Linked DNA regions of Astyanax mexicanus. Each later gene encodes a partner of the first gene's protein in a complex. Links are inferred from orthologs where the notes say so. Each region holds a gene or a part of one and is shown on either strand. Other genes may lie near its edges.

Evidence for each region.
Region 2: the proteins of dhdds (region 1) and nus1 are in contact, whole or in part, in a crystal structure (PDB 7PAX), measured with the Homo sapiens proteins. The link is inferred for Astyanax mexicanus from reciprocal best matches to the Homo sapiens genes DHDDS and NUS1. Residues at the interface, in NP_995583.1 of Homo sapiens: Arg37, Arg38, Glu81, Asn82, Lys84, Arg85, Arg159, His160, Ile162, Ser163, Val166, Arg167, Met169, Ala170, Trp171, Val173, Glu174, Pro180, Ser181, Ile183, Ser184, Glu185, Leu188, His199, Glu209, Val210, Arg211, Leu212, Ser213, Asp214; in NP_612468.1 of Homo sapiens: His137, Gln138, Pro193, Glu194, Lys197, Ala198, Ile200, Val201, Ala204, Gln205, Phe207, Cys208, Gln209, Val211, Ala212, Arg217, Pro218, Thr219, Leu221, Asp222, Val223, Leu226, Asp237, Pro246, Val247, Asp248, Ser249, Thr250, Leu251, Gly252.

Annotation. Positions count from the first base shown.
Region 1 is NC_064408.1:119,799,820-119,812,593, reverse strand, and holds the start of dhdds (dehydrodolichyl diphosphate synthase complex subunit DHDDS), read left to right. Parts: upstream 1-7,508; 5' UTR 7,509-7,640; intron 7,641-9,620; 5' UTR 9,621-9,634; coding exon 9,635-9,697; intron 9,698-9,804; coding exon 9,805-9,921; intron 9,922-11,035; coding exon 11,036-11,178; intron 11,179-12,588; coding exon 12,589-12,705; intron 12,706-12,774. UniProt on the Homo sapiens protein: With NUS1, forms the dehydrodolichyl diphosphate synthase (DDS) complex, an essential component of the dolichol monophosphate (Dol-P) biosynthetic machinery.
Region 2 is NC_064408.1:80,419,013-80,431,963, forward strand, and holds the start of nus1 (dehydrodolichyl diphosphate synthase complex subunit nus1), read left to right. Parts: upstream 1-7,956; 5' UTR 7,957-8,131; coding exon 8,132-8,474; intron 8,475-11,295; coding exon 11,296-11,418; intron 11,419-12,759; coding exon 12,760-12,912; intron 12,913-12,951. Other genes in the region: nephrocan-like, read left to right, coding at 1,867-2,061, 3,248-4,149, 4,983-5,385. UniProt on the Homo sapiens protein: With DHDDS, forms the dehydrodolichyl diphosphate synthase (DDS) complex, an essential component of the dolichol monophosphate (Dol-P) biosynthetic machinery.

The DNA.
Region 1 (12,774 bases):
TTTCTTTCCCTCCTTTCCCTTCGTTTCTCTCTCTCTCCCTCCCTCTCTCTCTCGGCGTGTCTGGGTCCTGCTCACCGTTCAAGCAGGATTCTCCAGAGTAGGAGCAGACCCCCCAAAAAAAACAAACAAAAAAAAAAATCCCACCACGGACAGCCGAGGAGAGAGGGCCGCCTTCTTCGCCTCCTCCTCCCGCTCACAGCGCCTCCTGTGCGGGGCAGCTGCTTTGTGCGGCCGCCCTCTAGCGAGCGGTGGTTGGGGACCGTTGGGGGGAAAGGTTCACACACTGCTTCACACTGCAATGAGCGTTGAACTCGTTAACCTCGAAAAATCTATTTATATATCCAAGATTTACTAGTATTCTTGATATACATGAATTATACTAAATGAGCTATTTACACAGGAGTGCAAAAGTTTGGGTTGAAAACAAAACTGCTTAAAGCATCACATTCTTTACTCAGATTAGGGTATTAGGGTGCCATTTGCTTGTTGTAACTCAAATTAAGCTTATTTGTAATATTTTTTTCAACTCTAATAACACATGTATTTAACTATTTAAAACATGTACTGGTAAAACTTTTTTTTTTCAGATTTACTTAATTGTTTACAAGGTTTCTAAGCTAAAGGTGATTACAAAACTTATGTGACATTTAAAAAGCATGTTTAAAAGCAAGTCCACTAATTCCTTTGATTCTCTCTCAAGAAAGATTATATATTAAAGAAATGGTTGACTGCATGTTCAAATAGATATTTTTTATGACAAAAAAATCAATCCTATTAATGGCACTGATTCCTATTACTTTTTTATGTTTTGAGTTATCATAGAATTAGCAAAAACAAGAAAAATAGCTAAATGGCGGCTATGCAAATAGCATAAGGACACTGAGCACATTTTAGTGATCTTCCCAAAATTTGTATTTTAAAAATAAACAAATAAGATTTAAGAATTATTTTAGATAACGGGACAGAGTGTTGAGATTGAGCTCCTTAGTCAAACAGAAATGACATACATTCGGTGGAATGGCCCATTAAATATTTTTGGTTTAAAAAATACTTCTGTAGACGTATTCTGACCCTAAACACTGCTCAAAATCTACTAAAACATTCATGCAGAGGATCAAGTACAATGTTCTGGAGTGATTATCTCAGTCCCCAGACATGAATACTATTAAAAATCTGTGCTGTGATTTAAAGCGAGCTGTTTATGATCAGAAACCATCAAACTTGACTGAACTGGAAATTATTTGTAAAGAAGAATGATCCAAAATACCTTCAGCCAGAAGCCAGACTCTTATTGGAAGATATAGGAAGTGTTTAGAGGCTGTTACTTCTGCAAAAGGAGGATTGTCTAAATATTGATGTATTTTTTCTGTTCAGGCCCAAATTTATGCACCTGCCTAATTTTGTTCAAAGATTTATTTCACACTTTCTGTAAATCCTATAAACTTAATTTCTCACCAGCCTGATCAGCATCACCAAGCTATTCCACCAGCCTGATCAGCTTCACCAAGCTATTCCACCAGCCTGATCAGCATCACCAAGCTATTCCACCAGCCTGACCAGCTATTCCACCAGCCTGATCAGCATCACCAAGCTATTCCACCAGCCTGATTAGCATCACCAAGCTATTCCACCAGCCTCATCAGCATCACCAAGCTATTCCACCAGCCTGATCCGCATCACCAAGCTATTCCACCAGCCTGATCAGCATCACCAGCTATTCCACCAGCCTGACCAGCTATTTCACCAGCCTGATCAGCATCACCAAGCTATTCCACCAGCCTGATCAGCATCACCAAGCTATTCCACCAGCCTGATCAGCATCATCAAGCTATTCCACCAGCCTGATCCGCATCACCAAGCTATTCCACCAGCCTGATCAGCATCACCAAGCTATTCCACCAGCCTGACCAGCTATTCCACCAGCCTGATCAGCATCACCAAGCTATTCCACCAGTCTGATCAGCATCACCAAGCTATTCCACCAGCCTGATCAGCATCACCAAGCTATTCCACCAGCCTGATCAGCATCATCAAGCTATTCCACCAGCCTGATCCGCATCACCAAGCTATTCCACCAGCCTGATCAGCATCACCAAGCTATTCCACCAGCCTGACCAGCTATTCCACCAGCCTGATCAGCATCACCAAGCTATTCCACCAGTCTGATCAGCATCACCAAGCTATTCCACCAGCCTGATCAGCATCACCAAGCTATTCCACCAGCCTCATCAGCATCACCAAGCTATTCCACCAGCCTGATTAGCATCACCAAGCTATTCCACCAGCCTCATCAGCATCACCAAGCTATTCCACCAGCCTCATCAGCATCACCAAGCTATTCCACCAGTCTGATCAGCATCACCAAGCTATTCCACCAGCCTGATTAGCATCACCAAGCTATTCCACCAGCCTCATCAGCATCACCAAGCTATTTCACCACAATGATCAGCATCACAAAGCTATTCCAACAGCCTGATCAGCTTCACCAAGCTATTCCACCAGCCTCATCAGCATCACCAAGCTATTTCACCAAAATGATCAGCATCACAAAGCTATTCCAACAGCCTGATCAGCTTCACCAAGCTATTCCACCAGTCTGATCAGCATCATCAAGCTGTTCCACCAGCCTGATCAGCACCACCAAGCTATTCCACCAGTCTAATCAGCATCATCAAGCTATTCCACCAGCCTGATCAGCATCACCAAGCTATTCCACCAGTCTGATCAGCATCTCCAAGCTATTCCACCTGCCTGATCAGAATCACCAAGCTATTCCACCAGCCTGATCAGCATCATCAAGCTATTCCATCAGCCTGATCAGCATCACCAAGCTATTCCACCAGCCTGATCAGCATCACCAAGCTATTCGAATTTTCAATTTTAGGGCACATAGCACAAAAAGTAAGAACATTTCTGTTTGGTAGATTATTTCAATTTGTAACAATGCTTCCTGACCATAATACCAATGAAAAAGTCTGTTAATTTCTCTTTTGAATTATGTCACCTTTAAAAGGAACATATATTCGACTGATGAGCAGCATAGCTGAGAATATGGGTTGTGCCCATGAAAAAATTGCCAAATCTTCTCTGTCATTGCCAAATAACTTATTATGCTGTTGCAATTAACACTTGTTTTTAGCTTCTGGTTCCTTCCAATTGGAAGCACCTGTGGGCATGGGCCATATGGGTTACAGTGGTCAGTAGGTGTCTGGCCTAAGAATTGGCATAATGCCACAGTTGACAGATCTTTATTAGCTACCTAGCTAAAACATTCCACACAATAAAGTAGTTAATGTTACCTAACCTAGCTGACTGTAAAAAAATAACTCAGCAAGGCAGATTATTGTAAGTCTTTGAAGTTGTCTGTTAGTTTAAACTATAGCTTGCTAGCTACAATTATCTCCTGTTTGCTACAGGTTTGCTTTTTAACTAGCTTGCATTAGCTAAGAAATCTAGCAATCTAGCTATCTACCTGATGGGTTTCTTAAACTGCAGTTAAGTTACCACTTGCCAAGATGTGACTATAGACACTATACACAAAAATAAGCAAAGAAGCATGTCTATGAGGCAGCTTCCCAGACAGTTCATATTCATAACCCCCCCTTCCATGATGAAAGTATGGAGGATTGCAAAGCATGTGCACAGTACAACATCTATGTAGTCTATGAAGTCATGTACTGGTGCTCACCACTTAGTATCTGGCGCTTACCACTTAGTATGTGGTACTCACCACTTAGTATGTGGTGCTCACCATTTAGTATTTGGTGCTCACCACTTAGTGTCTGGTGCTCACCACTTAATATCCGTTTTTCACCACTTAAGGCCAATTTATACTTCTGCATCAAACCTATGCCATGAGATTGGATGTGTTGGTTAAAGCTGCCCTGCCCTATAAAAACACACACCAGTTTTGAGTTTGCTGTATAAGAGGCATTGCTTGATTTGAAGCATGCCTCGCACAAAAGAGCTCTCAGAAGACCTACGTTCAAGAATTGTTGACCTACATGAAGCTGGAAAGGGTTACAAAATATCTCTAAAAGCCTTGATGTTCATGTGTCCACGGTAATACAGACAGTCTACAAATGGAGAAAGTTCAGCACTGTTGCTACTCTCCCTAGGCGTGGTAAAGGCCTGTAAAGATGACTGCAAGAGCACAGCGCAGAATTCAAGATTCAAGATTCAAGATTTTTATTGTCACGTCACAGAGTACAGGTGTACATGTGAGTGAAAAACTTGGAAAAAATGATCAATGAGGTGAGGAAGAATCCAGTGTCAGCTAAAGACTTCCATAAATCTCTGGCACATGCAAGGGCGTAGGAGCGGGTTTGATATTGGGGGGGACACTTTTGCTAATGCACCAAAGCCCATATAGTTTCTTAGAACAACATAGGAATTACTTTTAATCACAAATAATCCCTTTTTTCTGTACTCTGTTTATTATTAGTTACATCCAAGTAAAGGTGACTTTACAACCACCATGTTACTCCACATTACATTTAAACAAATATGCGTGAAATGTCTGAATTATATACATATATGACAAAAACTGATCAGTTATCATCTGCGCTTTTAGTTGTTTCTACTGAAAGCACTTCTTATGATGGTGTCCTTTTTTGAAAAAAGAATGTAACTTTACGTTTCATAGAGATTTTTGACAGAAGTTAATATAAATATTAGACTAAAGAAAAAAACATTTGGATTCACCTGGAATCCCTCTATTTACTCAGGATTTAGTCTTACTGTGAACTACAAATAAACAGAAGTCAGGTTAGAGCAGTGTTTCTCAACCCTGTTCCTACACATTCTACTGCATATCCCCACTGCCTACTCTGCTTTAAAGTCACTTAATAAAGTAAGTGGAGGTATGATGTGTCTAATACACTGCTGACATACATAATGAAAAGGATTTAAACAGGTAAACTCAGTAAAGGACTGTTTATTAGCAAATCAGTTGGATCTGGTAGAAACACACAATTTTAGGGCAGAGATCAGGGTTAATAAACTGCTTTAAACTACCAACATAAAGTACTGTACTAAATTCTGACTATCCACTACATCTGGCTTCTAGCTAACTATTTTTTCGTTTACTATAGCTTACAGTAAGTCCTGCAATCCTAAATTAATAAACACAATTTGAAAATGAAATAGTGATTAGCTGATCAGGGCAAGCTGAACATAACATATATATTTTTTTTAAGCCTTGACTCCCTGTCTAGCTAATTCCAAAGTTAAGCTAACTGACTAACACAGCTGCAGTTTATTATCACACGGTGGGTTTAATCTGTGTGTTTTGATTTGGAGAGTCTTTTTAACCAGCTATCAGAAATAATCTCAACACAGGCCACATGGTAAACTCCGTTACCTCTTAGAAAAATCGCCGTATATCCAGATTTACTTCAACACCAGCTGATGCTGGACACCGCTTCTAAATCTCACAGCGAGGGGGAGGGGCTTCTCCTCCACCAGCACGCTAACTCTTCTCGCAAGACCAGCGAGCTGATTGGCTGTTTCTCCTGAAAGGCGGGACTTTCTCCCTGAACCGGCACCGTGATTGGTTTCCCAGCGCTTAGCGGTCGGTCTCTTCATTAACAGTACGACTGAGCTGAGCGAAACTATTTCATTTTTGGGGGGGACAAATCCACCTGTTTCTAATCCCCCCCGGTTCCTACGCCAATGGGCACATGCATTTTTGTTGACAAATCTACAATAAGAGAAACATTAAACTAGAATGGAGTTCATGGGAGGACACCATGGAGGAAGCCACTGCTGTAAAAAAAAAACTATTCCTGCACGCTAGAAGTTTGCCTGGATGTTCCACAGCAGTACTGGCTAAATATACTGTGGACAGATGAAACCAAAATTGAGTTGTTTGGAAGGAACACACAACGCTGTGTGTGGAGAAAAAAGGCACATCACACCATCATCAAAACCTCATCCCAACTGTGAAACATGGTGGAGGGGGCATCATGGTTAAGGGCTGCTTTGCTGCCTCAGGGTCTGGACGGATTACCATCATCAACGGAAAAATGAATTCCCAAGTTACACAAGACATTTTGCAGGAGAACTTAAGACCATCTGTCCGCCAACTAAATCTCAACAGAGGATGGATGATGCAACAGAACAATGACCCAAAACATAGAAGTAAATCAAAACCAAATTGATTCAACAGAAGAAAATACGCCTTCTGGAGAGTCCTGACCTCCTGAACTCAATTAAGATTCTGTGACATCATGACCTCAAGAGAGCGATTCACACCAGATATCCCAAGAATATTATAGCTGAACTGAAACAGTTTAGTGAAGAGGAATGATCCAAAATTCCTCCTGACTGTTCTGCAGGTCTGATCTGCAACTACAGGAAACGTTCCTTTGAGGTTTTTGCTGCCAAAGGAGGATCAATCAGTTATTAAATCTGAAGGTTTACATACTTTTTCCACCCTCACTGTGAATATTAACATGTTGTGTTCAATAAAACCATGCAAACATATACATAAACATATTTTGTGTGGTACTGGTTTAAGCAGACTGTGTTTGTCTATTGTTGTGACTTAGATGAAGATCAGAACACAGAAAGCAGAAATCCAAATAGTCCCAAAGGGTCCACATACTTTTTTAGCAGCTGTAGGTTTGATGCAGGAGTATAAACTGCCCTTTAGTATGTGGTGCTCACAACCTAGTATCTGGTGCCCATAAAAAAACAGGACAACAAGTAAGAGAATGTACACAGTCCCTGGATGGGACTGTTTTTGTGATGTTTACTTGTAAAAAATGCTATAAATACCAGAGCTGCATAAAGTTATCCAAAAGCAGTGTGTAAGACTGGTGGAGGAGAACATGATGCCAAGATACATGAAAACTGTGATTAAAAACCAGGGCTATTCCACTAAATATTGATGTCTGAACTCTTAAAACTTTATGAATATGAACGTACTTTGCATCATTTGAGGTCTGAAAGCTCTGAATATTTTGTGTTATTTCATCCATTTCTCATTTTCTGCAGATAAATGCTCTAAGTGACAATATTTTTATTTGAAATTTGGGAGAAATGCTGTCTGTAGTTTATAGAATAAAACAATAATGTTCATTTTACTCAAACATTAAACCTATAAATAGCAAAATCAGAGAAACTAATTCAGAAACTGATTTTTTTTTTCAGAGCTGTATATATTAGTAAACTTAATTCTATTTTGATTCGATTTTTATGTGAAAACATATGAATATGAAACTGTTTTAAAGCTAAACATGTCTACTAATAGGAATTATCCGTTCCACCTTAAAAAAAAGTACAGCAGAAGCCTGATTTAAGGTGGAACGGAACGTATGAAAACAAACTTCAACTTCATGGATGGATACAGGTTAATTTCTGTATTTTTCGCCACTAAATATTTTTTTATTTCTTTAATACACGCTTTAGGAGATAATCCCGGTTAAAAAGTGTTTTATTTAGATCTTTAGTTTTTTGTTGAATTTTATTGTGAAGGCAGGCACGCGCACCGTCGCTGTGTCGTCATTTCCGGTCGGAGGAAGAGGTCGTCAGCAGGCTGTGAGTTGGAGCTGGGGATCTGGAGCTGCTGTTTAATCAGCAGGGTTACAGTTACAGGGCTGTGTCTGAATTAAACTCGGGGTCTGAGGGTGTTTAAGGTCGGTCTGTTCGCTGGTCTGGGTGTTTACAGGGCTCTACACACATTTATTAGCTTAGCTTAGCCTACATTAGCTTAGCTTAGCAGCTAACCATTTAAACAGCCCTATATAAATGCTAGCCTAGCTCTAATATCAGCTAAAACTCACTATATAAACTAGCTAACGTTATATATGTGTGATACGAGTTTTCAGCTGTTAAAATAACCTTAAGATCTGTTTTGGGCTTGCAGTGGTCTGGTGTGGTGGAAAGGGGCTTGTTTTGTAGCTGAATGACCTGTGTAGACTTGCTGCTGCAATGTGAAGCTTAAGAAATGTTGTGTTATGTTAATATTTAATAGATATATATGTATATTAGTGCGTTAAATAGCTAATTTATTTCAGTAATTTAGTTCAAAATGTGAAACTACATGTTTTTTTTCTTTATTGTTGACGATTATGGCTTACAGCCAATGAAATGAAAAGATTCAGTCTAATGGACAGTGTGGACAGTGTGCCAAGTCCTGCTGGAAAATGAAATCTGCATCTCCATAAAAGTTGCCAGCAGAGGGAAGCATGAAGTGCTGTAAGATTTTGGACTTGATATTAAACAGTGGACCAACACCAGCAGATGAAATGTCTCTCCAAACCATCACTGATCATCAGTAATTTCTACATTTTATTTGGAAATCAAGGGATCAGAGTCTGGAGGAAGAGTGGAGAGACACACAGTCCAAGCTGCTTGAGGTCTAGTGTGAAGTTTCCACCAATCATTAATGGTTTGGAAAGACATGTCATCTGCTGGTGTTGATCCACTATGTTCTATCAAGTCTAAAGTCAATGCCGTGTTTTCCCGGAAAATCTTATAACACTTTATACTTCCCTATGCTTCCCTCTGCTCTGCCTGTCTAGCTTGGTAATGCTGGTTATGCTGGTTAGCCTTAATTTGCTGGTTGTGCTGGTTAACCATTTTGGTTAAGCTTGGTCATACTATTTGTCTAGTTTGGTGATGTTATTTTGTGCTGGTCAACAAGCATTGCTTTGCTGGTTATGCCAACCATGGCTTTTTCTGGTCATGCTGGTCAACCTTGGCTTTGCTGTCAATCAGTTTGTTCTAATTTGTTCATACTGGTCACCTAGCTTGGTGATGCTGGTCATGGTGGTCAACCAGCTTGGCTTTGCTGGTTGTGCTGGTCAACCTGCTTGGTCAAATCTGTTCATACTGGTTGTCTAGCTTGGTGATGCTGGTCATGGTGGTTGTGCTGGTCAACCTGCTTGGTCATACTCGTTCATGCTGGTTGTCTAGCTTGCCTTTGCTGGTTGTATTGGTTAACCAGTTTGGTCAAATTTGTTAATATTGGTTGTCTAGCTTGGTGATGCTGTTTGTGCTGGTCATGTCAACCATGGCATTTTCTGGTCGTGCTGGTCAACCAGCTTGGCTTTGCTGGTCATGCTTATCAATCATGACTTTTTCTGTTCATTCTGGTCAACCTTGACTTTGCTGGTTGTGCTGGTCAACCTGTTTGGTCTAACTTGTTCATATTGGTTATGTAGCTTAATGAACTCTAAAGAGAGCAGGGGAGCAGTTGAGATTGAGCCTTCAGTGGTTTTAATGTTATGTCTGTTATGTTTTGTGTACATATTGTGTTATGCTTGCTCACCTATAACAGACATAGAGAGACAAGAGAGAAGAGACAAAAAAACAGACATAGAAAGAATGGGAATAAGAAGTGGAATGAGAGTGAGGCAATTGTGACAGAAAGAGTACAGCCAGGGCTAGAATAAGCTGTACTGTGTGTTTCATCACCATCAAGAACAAAAACAGCTTTACAGAGGAAGGACTGTTTATTGATCAATTCATTATTACATTTTAATGCAATGTGTACAGATTAACATAGTTTACCATAAGTTTACCATTTTTTTTTGCTTAATCGTGACAATATACAATAATGAATGTGCTTCATTTTAAATTTTAAGTAATTAATTTTATCCTTTTACTTTTAGACCAGCAAGCTCAGATGTCGTGGATCAGGGAAGGTGAACTAAGCCTACTGGAGAGGCTCACTGCCAATGTCCTAAAGGTAACTTAGATTTTATATCACTGGTCAGTCCACACTTGTAACTTTTAACCCTGAGGTCTATTTTTTTGTCTTTTTCTTCTTTACCTCACTGTATTTGTTTTTCACAGGCAGGGCCCATGCCCAAGCATGTGGCCTTCATTATGGATGGCAATAGACGCTATGCCCAGAAGAGACATGTGGAGAGGCAGGAGGGCCACACACAGGGCTTTGACAAGCTGGCTGAAGTGAGTATGACTTCAAATATGACCTTTAATGTTTATGGCTTTAGGTTTAGATGCAGATTTCATAAGGCAATTTCCTTCGATAGTGATCGTGAGGTTCACAGCATTGGCCTCTAGTGGTTTTATTCTGGTATTACAATCATGTGATTTGTACACAAATGTCTTTTGAGACGTACATAGAATAGAAGCTGACTGATCCCAAAGGAAATTGCAGTGTTGCTGTAGTGACACACTTAATCCAGGGGTGGGGAATCGGGTCTGGAGTCCAGCAAAGTTCTGCTGAACTTTTAGCAGGTGTGTTTAAACTTGAAAAGCTTGAAAATCCATCCTCTCAGGACCAAAATTACCCATGCCTCATTTAAACCGACACATTAGGCATCAAAAATGCTGCTAGGAGAAAGTAAGCATGCTGCCTTAATTTGGGTGGGACAATATATCGGTATACTAGTGCATCTAAAAGAATTAAAATATAGTTGAAAAGTTTTTTTTTTTTTACTTTATTTCAGTAATTCAGTTCAAAATGTAAAAACCCATACAGTATATTATATAGATGTATTAAACACAGAGTGATCTATTTTAAACATTTATTTCTTTTATTGTTGACAATTATGGCTTACAGTCATTGAAAACCCAAAAATCAGTGTCTCAGAAAATTTGAATATTATTGCCAGTGTGGGCAGTGTGCCAAGTCCTGCTGGAAAATGAAATCCTCATCTCCATAAAAGTTGTCATCAGAAGGAAGCATGAAGTGCTGTAAGATTTTGTAGGAAAACAAAACTGCACTGACTTTAGACTTGATAATAAAACACAGTGGATCAACACCAGCAGATGACAGACATGACTCTCCAAACCATCACTGATCATCAGTAAATTTTACATTTCATTTGTAAATCAAGGGAGCAGAGTCTGGAGGAAGAGTGGAGAGACACACAGTCCAAACTGCTCGAGGTCTAGTGTGAAGTTTCCACCAATCAGTGATGGTTTGGAGAGACATGTCATCTGCTGGTGTTGATCCACTGTGTTTTATTATCAAGTCTCAAGAATTTTTGTGACTCCAATTACAGTGTTATAAGAGTGACTGACAGTATTTAGTTGGTATTCTGTTTAACTCTCTTAGACACTACGCTGGTGTTTGAACCTGGGCATCCACGAGGTGACCGTTTACGCCTTTAGCATAGAGAACTTCAAGCGCTCTAAAGAGGAGGTGGGCGGCCTGATGGAGCTCGCAAAGGAGAAGTTCCTCCGCCTGCTGGACGAACAGTGAGTCACCTGGCAAAAAAGGCCCAATCCCATTTCACCCCTAAGCCCTATTCCTCTGTTAAGTGTTAGGGGGTAGTGTTGAGGGCTACATTAACCTTTAAACTGAAAGTTTTCAGAGGAACACTCAAAACAGAGCACTATGAGAATCACTGACAAGATGGCAGTGGCACAAGCCACAAAAGAAACCCTGTTCAAAATTACAATAACCACTATATTACCATAGTTTAATGTGTAGTATCAGTGTTTTATGACCATTTTTCTTCATAATAAGTGAAAGAAATTGTTCATTTCTGTATCTAGCTAACTAGCTAACTTTCCTCTTCCTCCCTAATTAGTGCAACAGATGGCAGAGACTGTTCAGACTGGAAAAATACAATATAATCAAAGCTAATTTCAGCTACACATTAAAGAACGAACCATAATAAGTCATTGCTGCACCATCTGTCCCCTTTCTGAAGACATACGATAAACCCTAAAGTTAACTAGGTAATCAGCAGCAGTTAGGTTGCTGAACTTTTGCGCTTTTGCGCTCAGTAGTGCCACCTACGGGCCACCACTAGTCGCCTAGTAATGAAGCTGCGTTATGCACTATATTCATATAATAATGAATAAACAATAAAACCAGTCTCCTTATCTTGTACAATAGTACTTCTAGTAACATTTCCTCCACTTAATGGCATTGGAAACATGTTAAGTTTTTTTTTTTTGGAACATGTAATATGAGACATCACACGCACCTTTGATTTATTATATTGGTAAATCAGTCAATACAGTTTTAAACTTGTAATTATGTAGCTGTGATCTCTAAATTAAATGATAAATGTGTAACATAGTTTCTGTAGTAAATCTATAAGTCTTTAAATCTATAAATGTAGTTGAAGTATGTAGTTTGTATTGTGACCAGTGTTCATATTCATATTATTTGAACAGCTAAATACTTAAATTAAAAATAGAAAATATTGGACAGGATATTCCTATATTTTGGAAAGTAAAATGATCTATTTTGATAAAAAAAAAAAAAAAAAAGCCAACTTACCATTATATTTCAGTTTTTCTACAGTAAACAGGTTTTAGGATGCTGCATTACTGCTACCATAAGCTGATTGAACTCACAGGCAGAGCTCTGAGTTTTAAAAGTTTATAACATGAGTTTAAAAACTTAAAAAAATATGTATATTAAGTATATTAATAGCAGTTTATTTAGTGGGGTGGGGTCAAATTAACATGTGCTAGTTAATTTTTGGAACTTTGAACTTTTTTAAAATAAATTATGAACATGAACTAGTTCAATTAAACAAGTATAAACTGAGCTTTGAACTGGTTCATTTTAAATGTGAACTGGCACAAAACTAATTATAAGAAGTTTATTTACGGTTTATAGTGTGTTCATGTGTTTGTGTGTGTTTTAAGAGAGAACCTGGAGAAGCATGGCGTTTGTATCCGGGTGCTGGGAGACCTCACATTACTGCCAGAAGATCTGCAGCGGCACATCGCAAAAGCTGTGGTGTCGACCAGAGCACATAACAAGTAAGAACACCATCATCCTGCCCTTCTGGGAGTAAAGCACCTCCAAATTCCTGACTCCTTCTACCTACT
Region 2 (12,951 bases), about 39 Mb from region 1:
ATTTATTAAAATATTTTACCTATGTTATTTTTGTAAGATACACAGAATATTCCAAAAAAAGACTAAACAAATACATTTATAACAAACAATGAGACTTCCTTTGAAAAGTTAACCAAAATTAATAATAAAAAACAAAATACAGTTTTGTACTGCAAAGATTTTCATGATTTTAAGATTTTTCTGTGCAGACAGTATCCTTCTTATAGCAGATATAAGAAGTCATCACAGTAAACAATATTTGTAGCAGGTAAGAGATTTTCAGTTCTTCATTGATGGGTGTTTGCTCATTCTTCCTTGTTGTTAAAAGCTTCTAGTTTTGGGAGATTCAGGGGCTGTCTTACATGAACTGCTTTTCTGACACCTGTTTACAGATGTTTGTTGAATTTTAAGTGCTGTGAGAGCCTTTGTGGATTTTGAGATGTGTTTAGAATCATGTTGTAAAAGTAATTCTCTTTTTCTCAACAGCTTTTGTTTTTACAGAAGGTGTGATTAATTCCAGATTTTAATTTCAATTGTTAATTATATCCATTTTCCCAGTCAAATTATATTACCAGTCAAATGCTCCCTGTTACACTGGCTGCATCACAAGCCCAAAACTTGATTGATCCACCCCATGGTTAACAGATAAAAATGGCTTTATACCACTGCATCATTTAGTTTTTACTTTAGCTTACTTAACTTAAACATACTTTAAATTGTGGCCACAAATAGTCATAGTCATAGTTTCTTTATTTATCTCCCAAGGAGAAATTTTGCTTGGATTGAGGGCATACTGCATTACAACACAAAACAGACAAACATACAAACAAAAATATATGTGTATAGTGAAGCAATACCCATTTGGTGAGTGAAACCAATTCCAGAGAAACACATTTTAGGAGTACCCCACACCCCCCATGTCCTTGGTGGCAATAAAGGGGCATTTCACCTTGACCTGATGTTTATACTGTTCTGTCCTTGTGGTCTGATAAGAGTAAATGAGTTTTTTTTTTTGGTGGGAGGTGTCAGATCTGCTCACCCATATAAATGGTGTGCACTTAATGTTTAAATGTTTGTAATAAACAGTGTTGATAAGGAGAGTTCCCAGACCCCAATTTTGCAGAAACAACCATTACATTTCTGTGAAGGCTTTGCACTGGATGTTGGAACGTTTGACAGTATTTACAAATTCAATTTATTAAAATAGTTATGTGAGCTGTTTTGGATCTCAACTAACAGATAAACAGAGAATCATCAAATGAGCCTGTGCTCTTCTGTGCATTTATCTAACCCTATCATTTCTATCTTTTTAATAACTGTACTCACCATCTGCACATACCGATCACTTTATTAACTTTATTACTTTATTAACTTTATTACCTCCTGGCAAAACAGGAATTAAAAGATAAATATACTGTAGTCTATGACTAGACTTAATGCATGTCTGTGAAATGGCCCCTATATCTCTCATTATTTATTATTGAATTAGGTTTGATATGGGTTGAAATAATCAACCCATAAAGTGTCCTCTGTGACAGACACACCAGCAACATCCATCTCCAAAAAAAAACAGAGTACTCAAAGAGAGGAACGAAGAGACAAAGTATCTGCTAAAAGTATTTAAGCAGAGGAAACTGCATTTGTTGTCTAGAATGGGCTGTAAACAGGTTATCACCAAGGTTCTCACATCTGCGGACAGACAGGACAATCTGTGACTGCTTTGCCAGTTCCTTGTCAGTGTTTTCCAACACAGATAGTGATCTAGGCCATTGTTCCCAATAAAGCGGAGAAGGCCTACACTCAGCAGAGCCCCAGTCGCTGAGCTATTTAAGCCACAGGTCTTCAAAATGCTGCTTCAGCACCAAGGCAGCCCCGGTCATCTACACAATGCGGACACTTCACATTCTCATTTACACCCTGCTCTTCCCTCTCCTCTCGCTCTGCAGCCAAGTGTGTCCAGAGAAATGCGTCTGTGAACAAACCGGATCAGTGCAGTGTTTCAGGGTACAGTCCATGCCCTCAGGCATCCCGAGAGATGTGAGAAAACTTAACCTGGGATACAACCACATTAAGGAGATCAAGGTAACTGTTCTTTTTTACTCCAGATCCATCTCATTTGCACCTGTTTAGCAACATTCTCTTGTTTTCTGTATTACTTATTTGGAGTGTTTTAAATAAGGCATACTCCACAATGATTCACATCTGGCACAAATTTTTTTCTCTCTACATTTTATTCAGTATTATATAAACTGTTATGTAGGATTAATTTTGAGTTTTTCATTTTTAATTTTAATGATAAGTATGTTTGCGTTTTGTTGGTTTAGTAAATCTACCTTTTGAAATTAAGCTTGTAGTGTACAATATGTTTTATATGTTTCCTCAGATTTAGAAAATATTTTCTGTTCCAAATTGTGTTTGTTTAAAAAAAATTATTGTATTATTGGCATTGTGATGTCATTGTAATATTGTCCTACTGACCCATGCACCCAATTAATAAATAAACCAGATATTTGAAGATTGCTCTCATATTATACATTTAAGTCAATTATAACTGTTTATTATAATTGATATATTCAGATACTTTTATCTTTTAGGTTCTAGTTTTGTCTAATTAAAAATAGCTTTATTCTTAGTTTGGTAAACCAGCATTATAGGTTTTCCACACCCATATCTACATGGTGTACATCATATTTTGAAAGCAGTTAACAATTAGTTAGGGCAGTTAATGCATAAGATGTATCACTATCAATAACTGCGTAATAAAGCAATCGTTTAATGCAGTGTTTTTCAAGCTGAAAGCTGCAGTGTTACTTCTGGGAGCTGTTGTTCCAATTAATTTGAATGTCAGTTTTTTTGCAAAAAGAAAAACATTGAATTTTGGATGGTGTTGTTGGAGGTTTTTACATTTATATTAGTGCTGTTCTTCATGAGGTTTTTGAGCAATTTTGAGCATATTACGTAATTTAATGGACTACATTGATTGTTATGCTGTACTTATTTTGATTTGATAATTAAATACTTGTTGTTGCTGTGAAATGTTAATGAAATGAGTAAATAGAGCCCACACTGTGTGTGTTTTTTTTTTGTGCTGTCCCTCATCCAGCACACCTGATGCAACTAATTAATTAACAAATATCCAATAACCTGATCTACATCAGGTGTGTAAGGATAAGCAGGACCCAAACCTATTGAAACAAATGTGATTCCTGACTTTGTGTTATACTGGGCTATTTTAAAGAGCCTTTTTTCTTTTTTCCTTTTCTCTTAGAATCGAGATTTGTCGGGTTTGCAAAGTCTTGAAGAGATCATCCTGTCTTCCTGTGGAGTGGAGCAGCTAGAGGGTAATGTTTTTAGGGCCCAGAGGCTTTTAAAAACTCTGGATCTCCAAAAGAACAAACTGAGGAACATTCCTCGTGGCCTGCCCTCCAGCCTGGAGAGCCTTCACCTGGGTCACAACAGGATCCAGACATTGCAGGAGTCCACCTTGCAGGGTCTAAAGAAACTCCGCCTCCTGAACCTCCAGAATAACCTCATCACTACTTTACGCTCCAGTACTTTCTTAGCTCTCACTGTGCTGGAGGAACTATATCTGGAGGGTAATAAACTCGAGGCCGTGCAAGGTGCCCTCAGGTTGCCAATGCTGACTCAGTTAAGCTTAGCAAACAACAAAATCCATTCACTGCCTTCAGCTTTCTTCTCATCACTGCAGCTTCTTAAAACATTAGACCTGTCCTCTAACCTTTTGACTAAGGTGCCTCATGACCTTCCTCAAGCTCTGCTTAACCTCAGCTTGGACAGGAACCAATTAAGAAGTTTAAAAAGTCGTGATTTGGCTCAGTTGCGTGATCTGGTTACGCTGACTGCCTGCTACAACAGGCTGGTGTCGGTGGATGGAGGCCTTCGCCTGCCCAGTCTGAGTGTGCTGGAGCTGGTAGGAAACCAGCTGCGTGTGCTGCCCGGGCGGCTATCAGCCAAACTGGAGAAGCTTGATTGTGGGCAGAATCACATCCAGGAAGTGAGCCATCAGCAGCTATCTGGACTGAAGCAACTGCGCCATCTTTTTCTGGAGAACAACACCATCCGACACTTTGAGAGCAATGCTCTGAGGCACTGTGCTCACCTGACTAACCTGGCTTTAGAGAAGAACCTGCTCTCCACGTTTCCAAACAGGTACAGTTACATCTGTGTTTTATACTAAGGTTAATGTAGTCTGATAAGAACTGGACAATAATTTAATATTAAAATAGATGCATTATTAAAGAAAACGTTAGACACAGAAGAAAGTATCTGATTGTGATGCTATTTGGATAGAAGATTAAGGTTATTAGGATTTTTTTTTTTCAAATGCACAGTAGATTTATTTGGTATGTCAAAAGTTGCAGAACACCCTTTAACGAAAAGAAAAATGACATATCTGACTGTCCCAGCAAGTAATGGGTGGGTAGGGTGACTATTAGGGTATGTCCAGAACATGGCCGCCATCATGAAAGATGCCATATTCTGTTTCTTGAATTAAAGGGTGTCATATGGCTTTCGCATTGCATATGCTTTCGCATAGTATCTGTGTCCTAAAGGCAGGCTCTTAAGACGGCAGCAGTGTGTGGACAAGCATTGTCCTGTTGCAACAGTGCAGCAGAGGGTTGCATTTAGAAAAGGTAGGGACACTGGTTGCAGGACATTATTAACAAAATGATACAAGGCATTCTGGATGTAAAACAAAAGCACGGATCACGTCACTGTTTATTATTCACAGCATCTGTCACTGGCTGACAATCATTACAGGGTGCTCTACATAAATTGACATGGCACATAATTAGGTACAGGCATACTGTGTGTGTGTTCTTTGCAGTTTTTTTTGCAGTTTTTTTATTGTTCATTACAATGCAGGTAATATAGTGTATCAACTGAAATTAAGAAATATATTGTGTAATAATTTTTTGGCCATATCGTCCAGCCCTAAATCTGATTGTTAAATATTCTTGTGCATATGCATATCTCAACAGGCTTCCTGAAACCCTGGTTCGCTTGGATTTGAAGGGGAACAATATAGCCATGATTAAGGAGCATGAACTAAAGTCTCTGAAGCGGCTCCAGGTGTTGAATCTGCGCAACAACAGGCTCTCATCGCTGCCTGCTATGAACCTGCTGCCCAAACTGAGGACGCTGTATGTTGACGGAAACCCCTGGAACTGCAGCTGTGACCTGTTCAAGGTCAAGAGGTCTCTGCAGGCGAGAGACGTCGATATAAGCTCTGATTTCTGCACTGAGGCTGTTCAGACATCAGTGGACATTTGGCAGGCGTATGTACTGACACAGGAGAAGTGTGAGGAGACTGAAGAGTCATTACCAGAGAGCCAGACTGAACCCACAGACAATGAGGACTACTATGATTACGATCTTTTGTAAAGTTAATAATTTGCCATCTGTTTTTGATTTTCCATGGATTATGCTTTTTGTGTTGATTTAAACATAATAAATGCATCATCCATTCCTACACAACACCTGTTTTAGTCTAATGCACACAGAAATGTGAATATTGAATATCCTGTACAGTGTCTATTAGTGTACAGTGTTTATTATGTGTAATTATAGAAGTACAAAAAGAATTTCTTGATTTGCTGTTTATTGCTACAGTCAAAGGACACTATTGAACGACCACTGAACATTACATCTGTGTCTCTGTCTCTGCCTTTAAGACAACATAACATTTCTTTTTTTTTTCACTCACTCACTCACTCACACTCACTTACTCACTCACTCACTTACTCAGTCTATCACAATTGTCCACAAGGGGGAGCTGTTAGTACTCGAATAGCTTTCAGTGACACCGTGTGTCTTCAGTCCTGTTCAGGGGAAAGTCTGTCACAATTTTGAACAGAGACGTCAGACTTTCTAAATGGTTTAGAACATCAAGCATAAAGTTAGGTTATAAAGTCAATAAATGTACCTCTTAATTTACTAATGCCTCATATTTCATAAGTTAGATTAAATCCTATATTTGTGGAATTTTGCCCTCACCTTTAACTGTCAGTACACACACACTTAACATTGTGAGCTATAGTTATTATTTCTTAATTACACTGATTAATTATTGAAATTACTTGGAAACGTTGCAGAATACTTTTTGGATGTAATATAACAATATTAATAATGAACATTGTATTAATTCTACACCTCCAGATATTGCTTAATTGCTCAATTTCAGCTAAATCTATTGCTGACCGGCATTCAACTGTGGACACAACTTCTCCATCAAAACATTCCCAGTATAATGGGAAAGCAGGAAAACCTGAAAACCTTCTCTGGATTTACGAAGCTTCCTTCAGTCAGTACCTTTGGTATCAGTTCAAGGGCGAGTTTAGGATATATCATTCAGATCATTTAATGTGGGGCGCTGAAATCAAGAGATTACATGAAAAAATGGATAGAGGAAACTTTTTTTTACTTAATAGACCACTGAAGTCATGGGTCATTCTGTATGGCTTCCATGTCTAAGCGGTTTTTCTCTATGAGGAAAATGAATGGGCTTTTCAAAAAAATCACCTGTCACATTCTGTGGTAAATAAATATGTTCTGAATCCTGTACGTTTTATTCTGTGCACATTTACCTCCTTAAACACTGGATTCTTTGAATTTCGAGATAGTTTAGGAGTCGTAATGAGAAAAATGCTAGCTTGAAGCTAATGCTACAGCAGAGTGAACTGATGTCCCAGCACAGCTGCAGAGATTGCTAGAGGAATCTTTCCAGCGCAACACCAGTGAACTTTAATGATCATCTGTGAAGGAGAAGAATAATCTTAAACGCGATCTGGCCAGAGTTAGCTGGTGTACTGCAGAATCGGGTCTGCTGCCGTTGTGCTGTGATATCAGTTAAGCATTAGCTTAAAGCTAGCATTTTTCTAATTACTACCATTAAACGGTCTCGAAATTCAGAGGATCCAGTAATATTTAGGTAAATGTACACAGAGTAAAACGTACAGGGTTCTAAACATATTAATTTATTACAGGATGTGACAGAGGCCAGTCAAGCCCATTCAAATTTTTCATAGACCTAAACCTCTGAGACGAGGAACCCCAAACATGGGCATAATGGCTACAAAATGACAACATGACTTTAATGGTCTATTGTTAGGCACAATTAATTGTGTTAAAAAAATAATAATACGTTACTGATTTCAAATTATTTGTGTGCGTTAATGCCTTAATGTTAACAGCCCTGATATACAGCTCTGGAAAATGTTCATTTTATTCAAACATATACCTATAATTAGCAAAATTAAAGAAACTGATTCAAAACTGAAGTGGTCTCTTAATTTTATCCAGAGTTGTAATTTATATACAGCTCTGGAAAAATAAGAGACCGCTTAAAATGATGAATTTCTTTTATTTTACCAAATTGAAAACCTCTGAAATTCAATCGAGAGGAAGAGGTATGATCACAACCCAACAAAACAAGCTGAACTGCTTGAGTTTTTGCACCAGGAGTGGCATAAAGTTATCCAAAAGCAGTGTGTAAGACTGGTGGGGAAAAAAAAGCTCTGCATCTTTTTTTGTTAATATCAGTAATTTCTCATTTTCTGCAAATAAATGCTCTAAATGACATTATTTTTATTTAATTTGGGAGAAATGTTGTCCGTAATTTATAGAATAAAACAACATCTGCATCTTTTTTGTTAATATCAGTAATTTCACATTTTCTGCAAATGAATGCTCTAACTGACATTATTTTTATTTGAATTTTGGAGGAAAAACAATAGTTTTTATTCAAACCTATACTTATAAATAGTAAAATCAGAGAAACTTATTATTTTGTTATTATTATCGTGGTCTCTTTTTTTTTTCCAAGAGCAGTATATACAGTAGATCAGTGTCGTCCTCTCAGCACTGGGCGTAACAGGAGGTCACGTGAGAGTGACTCTCTCAGAGTGAACCCTCTCGCTGTGGTGCTGTAGGATCTTTGCGCGCCTCGTCCAATCAGAGAGCTCCATGTAACACAGCGGGTTCAAAGTGGAAAGGCTGAGGAATGGCAGCCGGCAGCCTGTGGCGTTGGCGCTTGTCGGAGCGGCGTTTATGAGCGAGCTGTCCGGAAGCCCTTAGCATGCGGGGTCTGCTGAGCTCCTGACAGACGTGCGGTCCTATCAGAGCCCGAATCATGGCGCTGTTGTACGAGTTGGTGTGGCGGCTCCTGCACTGCCTGCTGCAGCTCCAGAGAGCGGCCGCCGCCTGGATCCGAGGCCGCGTCTGGAGGCGAGGCGGGCGGCTGTGCAGGAGAGCCGCGCTGCGGCTGCCCGGAGCTCTGGGCTTCAGCACCCAGAAGAAGACCGCCAAACCCCGCCGGGTCCGCTGGGTAGCGGACGGCAAGGCTCTGGAGAAGCTGCCCCTTCACGTGGGCTTACTGGTGGCCGAGGAGGAGCAGCAGTACACGGACATAGCCAACCTGGTGGTGTGGTGCATGGCGGTGGGCATCTCATATGTCAGCGTGTATGATAATGAAGGTAAGACCCGGACACTGAATGTAGATACAAACACAGATACAAAAAAATAATACACATATGTTATTAATTAATGAATGAATTAATAAATATATGAATGAATATAGGGAAGTCTGTGACCCGGTGAATCACATGCACTACAGTCACCAGACTTCAGCTTGTGGTTTTCTCTGCTTCCCTCTTAATGAAATCTACACCTGTGATCTTTAAACATCCTGTAAAAAGGCTTAAACTAGTTCTAAAAACATTATAACAGGGTCCATACCAGGGTCCATACCATACTGAAATTAGTCTGGATAGAAGTTGAGTAACTTTGTAATGCCAGTGGGAAAAAAGTGCCATGCAAGGAAAAGTAGAACTGGATTATGTTAATATACAGCTTTATCACTTAAAAAATATGAGTTTTTGATTTTACTGAATTGAAAACCTCTGGAATATAATCAAGAGAACGATGGATGATCACAAGCCACCAAACCAAACTGAACTGCTTGAATTTTTGCACCAGGAGTGGCATAAAGGTATCCAAAAGCAGTGTGTAAGACTGGTGACGGAGAACATGCCAAGATGCATGATAACTGTAATGAAAAAAACAGGGTTATGCCACCAAATATTGATTTCTGAACTCTTAAAACGTAATGAATAGGAATTTGTTTTCTTTACATTATTTGAGGTCTAAAAGCTCTGCATCACTTTTATTCCAGTCATTTCTCATTTTCTGCAAATAAATGATCTAAATGATAATATTTTTTTGGGACTTGGGATGGAATGTCTAGTTTATAGAATAAAACCGTTAATTTTACTCGAACACATACCTATACGTAACAAAATCAGAGAAACTGATTTAGAACCTGAAGTGTTCTCTTCATTTTTTCTAGAACTGTATGTTACTTTTCACAATAACAGTATTTTGTGGACGATGTATCATGGTGATTGTGATAAACGTAATAGTCATTTTAAGACTGTTTAATGCCATTGATGTAATGATGATGATAATAATATAGCATAACAAAATCATTCATACCCTTATATACTTTTTTACCTACTGCAATCCACACTATGTGTATTTAGATGCAGTTATTAAAGTATTGATTATTATGGGTTCTATCGGGGTTAGCACAGTGAATATAGCAGTTCTGTAAGTCTGTAAATTATGTAATTTGACTCTGCACCTAACATTCTACCTTATTTCACATGTGCACACTGCAGTGACTATTCTGAAAAGTCATCTAAACTTTTTCTTTTTCTGGAGGTCAACAAATATCTAAACTCAAGTATCAGATTAAAAAATAATACTATAGAGATTTAATAGTGTTCTCCTCATAGTTATAGGTTTATCCTGAGTACAAAGTGTTTTTGATTGGACCAATGCAAAGTAATCTTGCTCTTTGCTGTAATCATTAACCAGACAGGAAGTGTGCTTCCACAAAAAAAATCTGTAGGAGCCAGGAAATGACACACTGTATTTTTAGGTCCTTGATCATGTGATTGAAGTGTACAAAAACTGATTGATAACTGGAAATTTCACACATTTATGAACTTATATCATGGTTTGTCACATGGGTCTCTAAATATATTAAACTGAAAAACATCTTTGCATAATGTCAGTATGGGTATCTGCTGACATGCGTTTCCCAGTTTTGCTTCAAAGAGAAATTTGGTGATGTTTTGTGTATTGTGATGTTCTGTTTATGGCTCATCATCCACCTCATATCCAAAAATCCACAAATGGCTAAGTCTATTTGTAGATCTAAGGATGATTTACACATAATTAATATTGTAAAACTGCATGGGCATAGTTATGATTCGCTTAAAACTATAGTTACTTCATTTTAAATCGTTTTTTTTTTTGGTATGTGAAGCCGAAAAACACATTCATAAAGGATTTTAAATTGATTTACACTAGTACTTCATGTTTCAGCTAATTTGTAGGAAGCTAAAACCTTTAGTAGATTTTTTTTATTTGTATGTTAATGTTCCATCCAGGTGGGCTCAGGTTTAAAACCTGATCATATCCATATGACAATAGCTTTTTAAGAGTAGTAGGTTACTTCACATAACTTTATTGGTTATGTTGGGTATATACAGTTCTATATAAAAAGTGGTTTAATGGTATAATTGTGTTATAATTATAAATAAACCAAGTGCTTAAGAGCTTTTGAGTCATTGTATGAAAGGCTTTCTTTTTCTTTTTCTTCCCTATTTTCCTAGTTTCCAGTTATTCCATCTTGGCCTAGTTAAATCCCTCCTGGGATATTTCTCAATGACCCGGGTGGGTGGGGTGGTATAGAGTGCTTTGCAGGCTGGATTACCTTTAACCCGGATTAAGCAACCCTTAACGCTCAGTGTGGATGCAGTACTCAGTGCCGTGTTGTCTAGCATACATAAGTGTGACATATCAGTCAGGTGGAGGTTTTATCATCACGAGAGAGACTGATTTGGACTCGCTGTGTGACTCATGAGAGGTTATAATTAAAACTGAGCATGGTTGCTTCCTCATCAAGTTCTGTGTCTAAGTTTGTCCCCAGGCCAAGCATTACAGTGTAGAATTTTTTTTTTAAGGAAATAATAAAGAATTTCTCACCTTTGCTTGCTCTAGGAAGGTCTGTCTCATAACTGATACATCACAGATTTATATGCTAGCAGACTCTTGGTATTGGGCATTTTGACCATAGGCTGAAAAGCAGCATCCATTTAAACTGTTGCATTCTGTTGTACACTGTTCTGGTGGGGACAATATAAACTGTTTTATCTGAGCTAATTGGTTGAAAGTAGATTGCTGTGGGAATGTTACAGCAGTGACTGACCCCTTTTTTTTTGTTTGAAGGTGTCTTCAGGAGGAATAACTCCAGGCTAATGGAGGAGATTATGAAGCAGCAACAGGAGCTCCTGGGCTCAGAAAGCTGCAAGTACTCACTGGAATTCCTAAACAATGGAACAGATCCACACGGTGAGCATTCACACCCTTCTCAGACTTCTCAGTGGGAGTATACAGACAGGTTATGCCAGAAAAGCTGACCTGAAGCACCTGTTCTGACACACTTCACCTCGTTTATAATTACTCTTTATCAGTTATTACCCATCCTGCTCCAGGTGTGCCCTATCCGGCATAGGCAAATGTTTTAATTGTTACATACAGTCATACATACTACAGCTTTTTAGCAAAGTTTTAGAAAAATGACCAAAAAAAAAATGTGTTTTTGCATAGAAATGATTTATACTAAATATACAGTCAAGAATTTAGACTAGTTCTAGGACATTTTGCTGGCTTGTGTACAAATGTATTCGAACAATTTGAAGTGAGTATGTTTTTAGAGCAGAGAAGCGCTAAAAATGCCCCACAAGGTTAGGAATGCACAATATAGCCAATTATTATATTTTTATGTAATTTATTTATGGGTATCATATATAATTTGTAATATTGAATTATAAGACTGGATATTAGACTGTAGTTATTGTACGTTATACTGGTGTAAAATAGGAGTACTTTACTAACTAAACAGAAACTAAACAAGAATAAATTAAGATATAAACTGAAATCGGTTTGTAGAACATTTTAACATGAAAAAATTTTAACAAATAAAACTGCAACTAAAAATGTTAATTATTTCATAGCACATTTATTAAACCGCAGAAATATAATGCTACATTATCTGGTTTACAGATGACTTATGCATATCCACTGCTGACAAAATACATAAGAATGCATGGGTAATAAAGGTACTGCAAAGGGGCAGACCAGCTCCATATAAATTCTTATACAGATTTGGAATGTGATGACAAAAGCTCCTGAAGGTGTAATGTTGGGATGTCACGTTAGTATATATATATTTTTTTCTCTTATATAGAGCGTATTAGGTTTTGCGCTAATAAATCTGCTTTCCATCAAAGCTAGATGTGATTGTATAGTTAATTAATTATTTATTTAAAAATATGTGTTGGATTATTTGTACAGTTAAACATTTCAGTACCACAGAGAACTGCCCTCCTCAAAGAGATTTATTGCTGTAAAGATTTTTAAGGGTTTATTCTTGAGCCTAATTTTGTTCTGTGGAATTATTTGAGATTCTTCTTTTTTTTGTTTGTTTAAAACTAGAGCAGCACACAGTTTTAAGTGTTTCTCTGTATACAGATCTATTATTATTGACTTTATTTGTTCTACTGAAAACACACCATTGGTTCAGTAATGAATAAAGAAGTTGAAATGTATGATTATCTTTGAGCAGATATTATGGCACTGATTAAACTAAGCTATTCTAACTGGCTGACTGGTTTGTGTGTGTGTGTTCAGCGCTGTTGTGTCAGACGGTGGTGAAGGTGTTGTCTCCAGATGATGGGAAGCTCCGTATTGTACAGGCAGCACAGCAGCTGTGTAAGGCTGTGGAGAAGAAAGAGAGGACATCCAAAGACATTGACGTCACTGTGCTGGACTCTTTACTGCGAGGTGAGTGGCCACTAACCTGCTGACCGGCAGTGCTTGAGT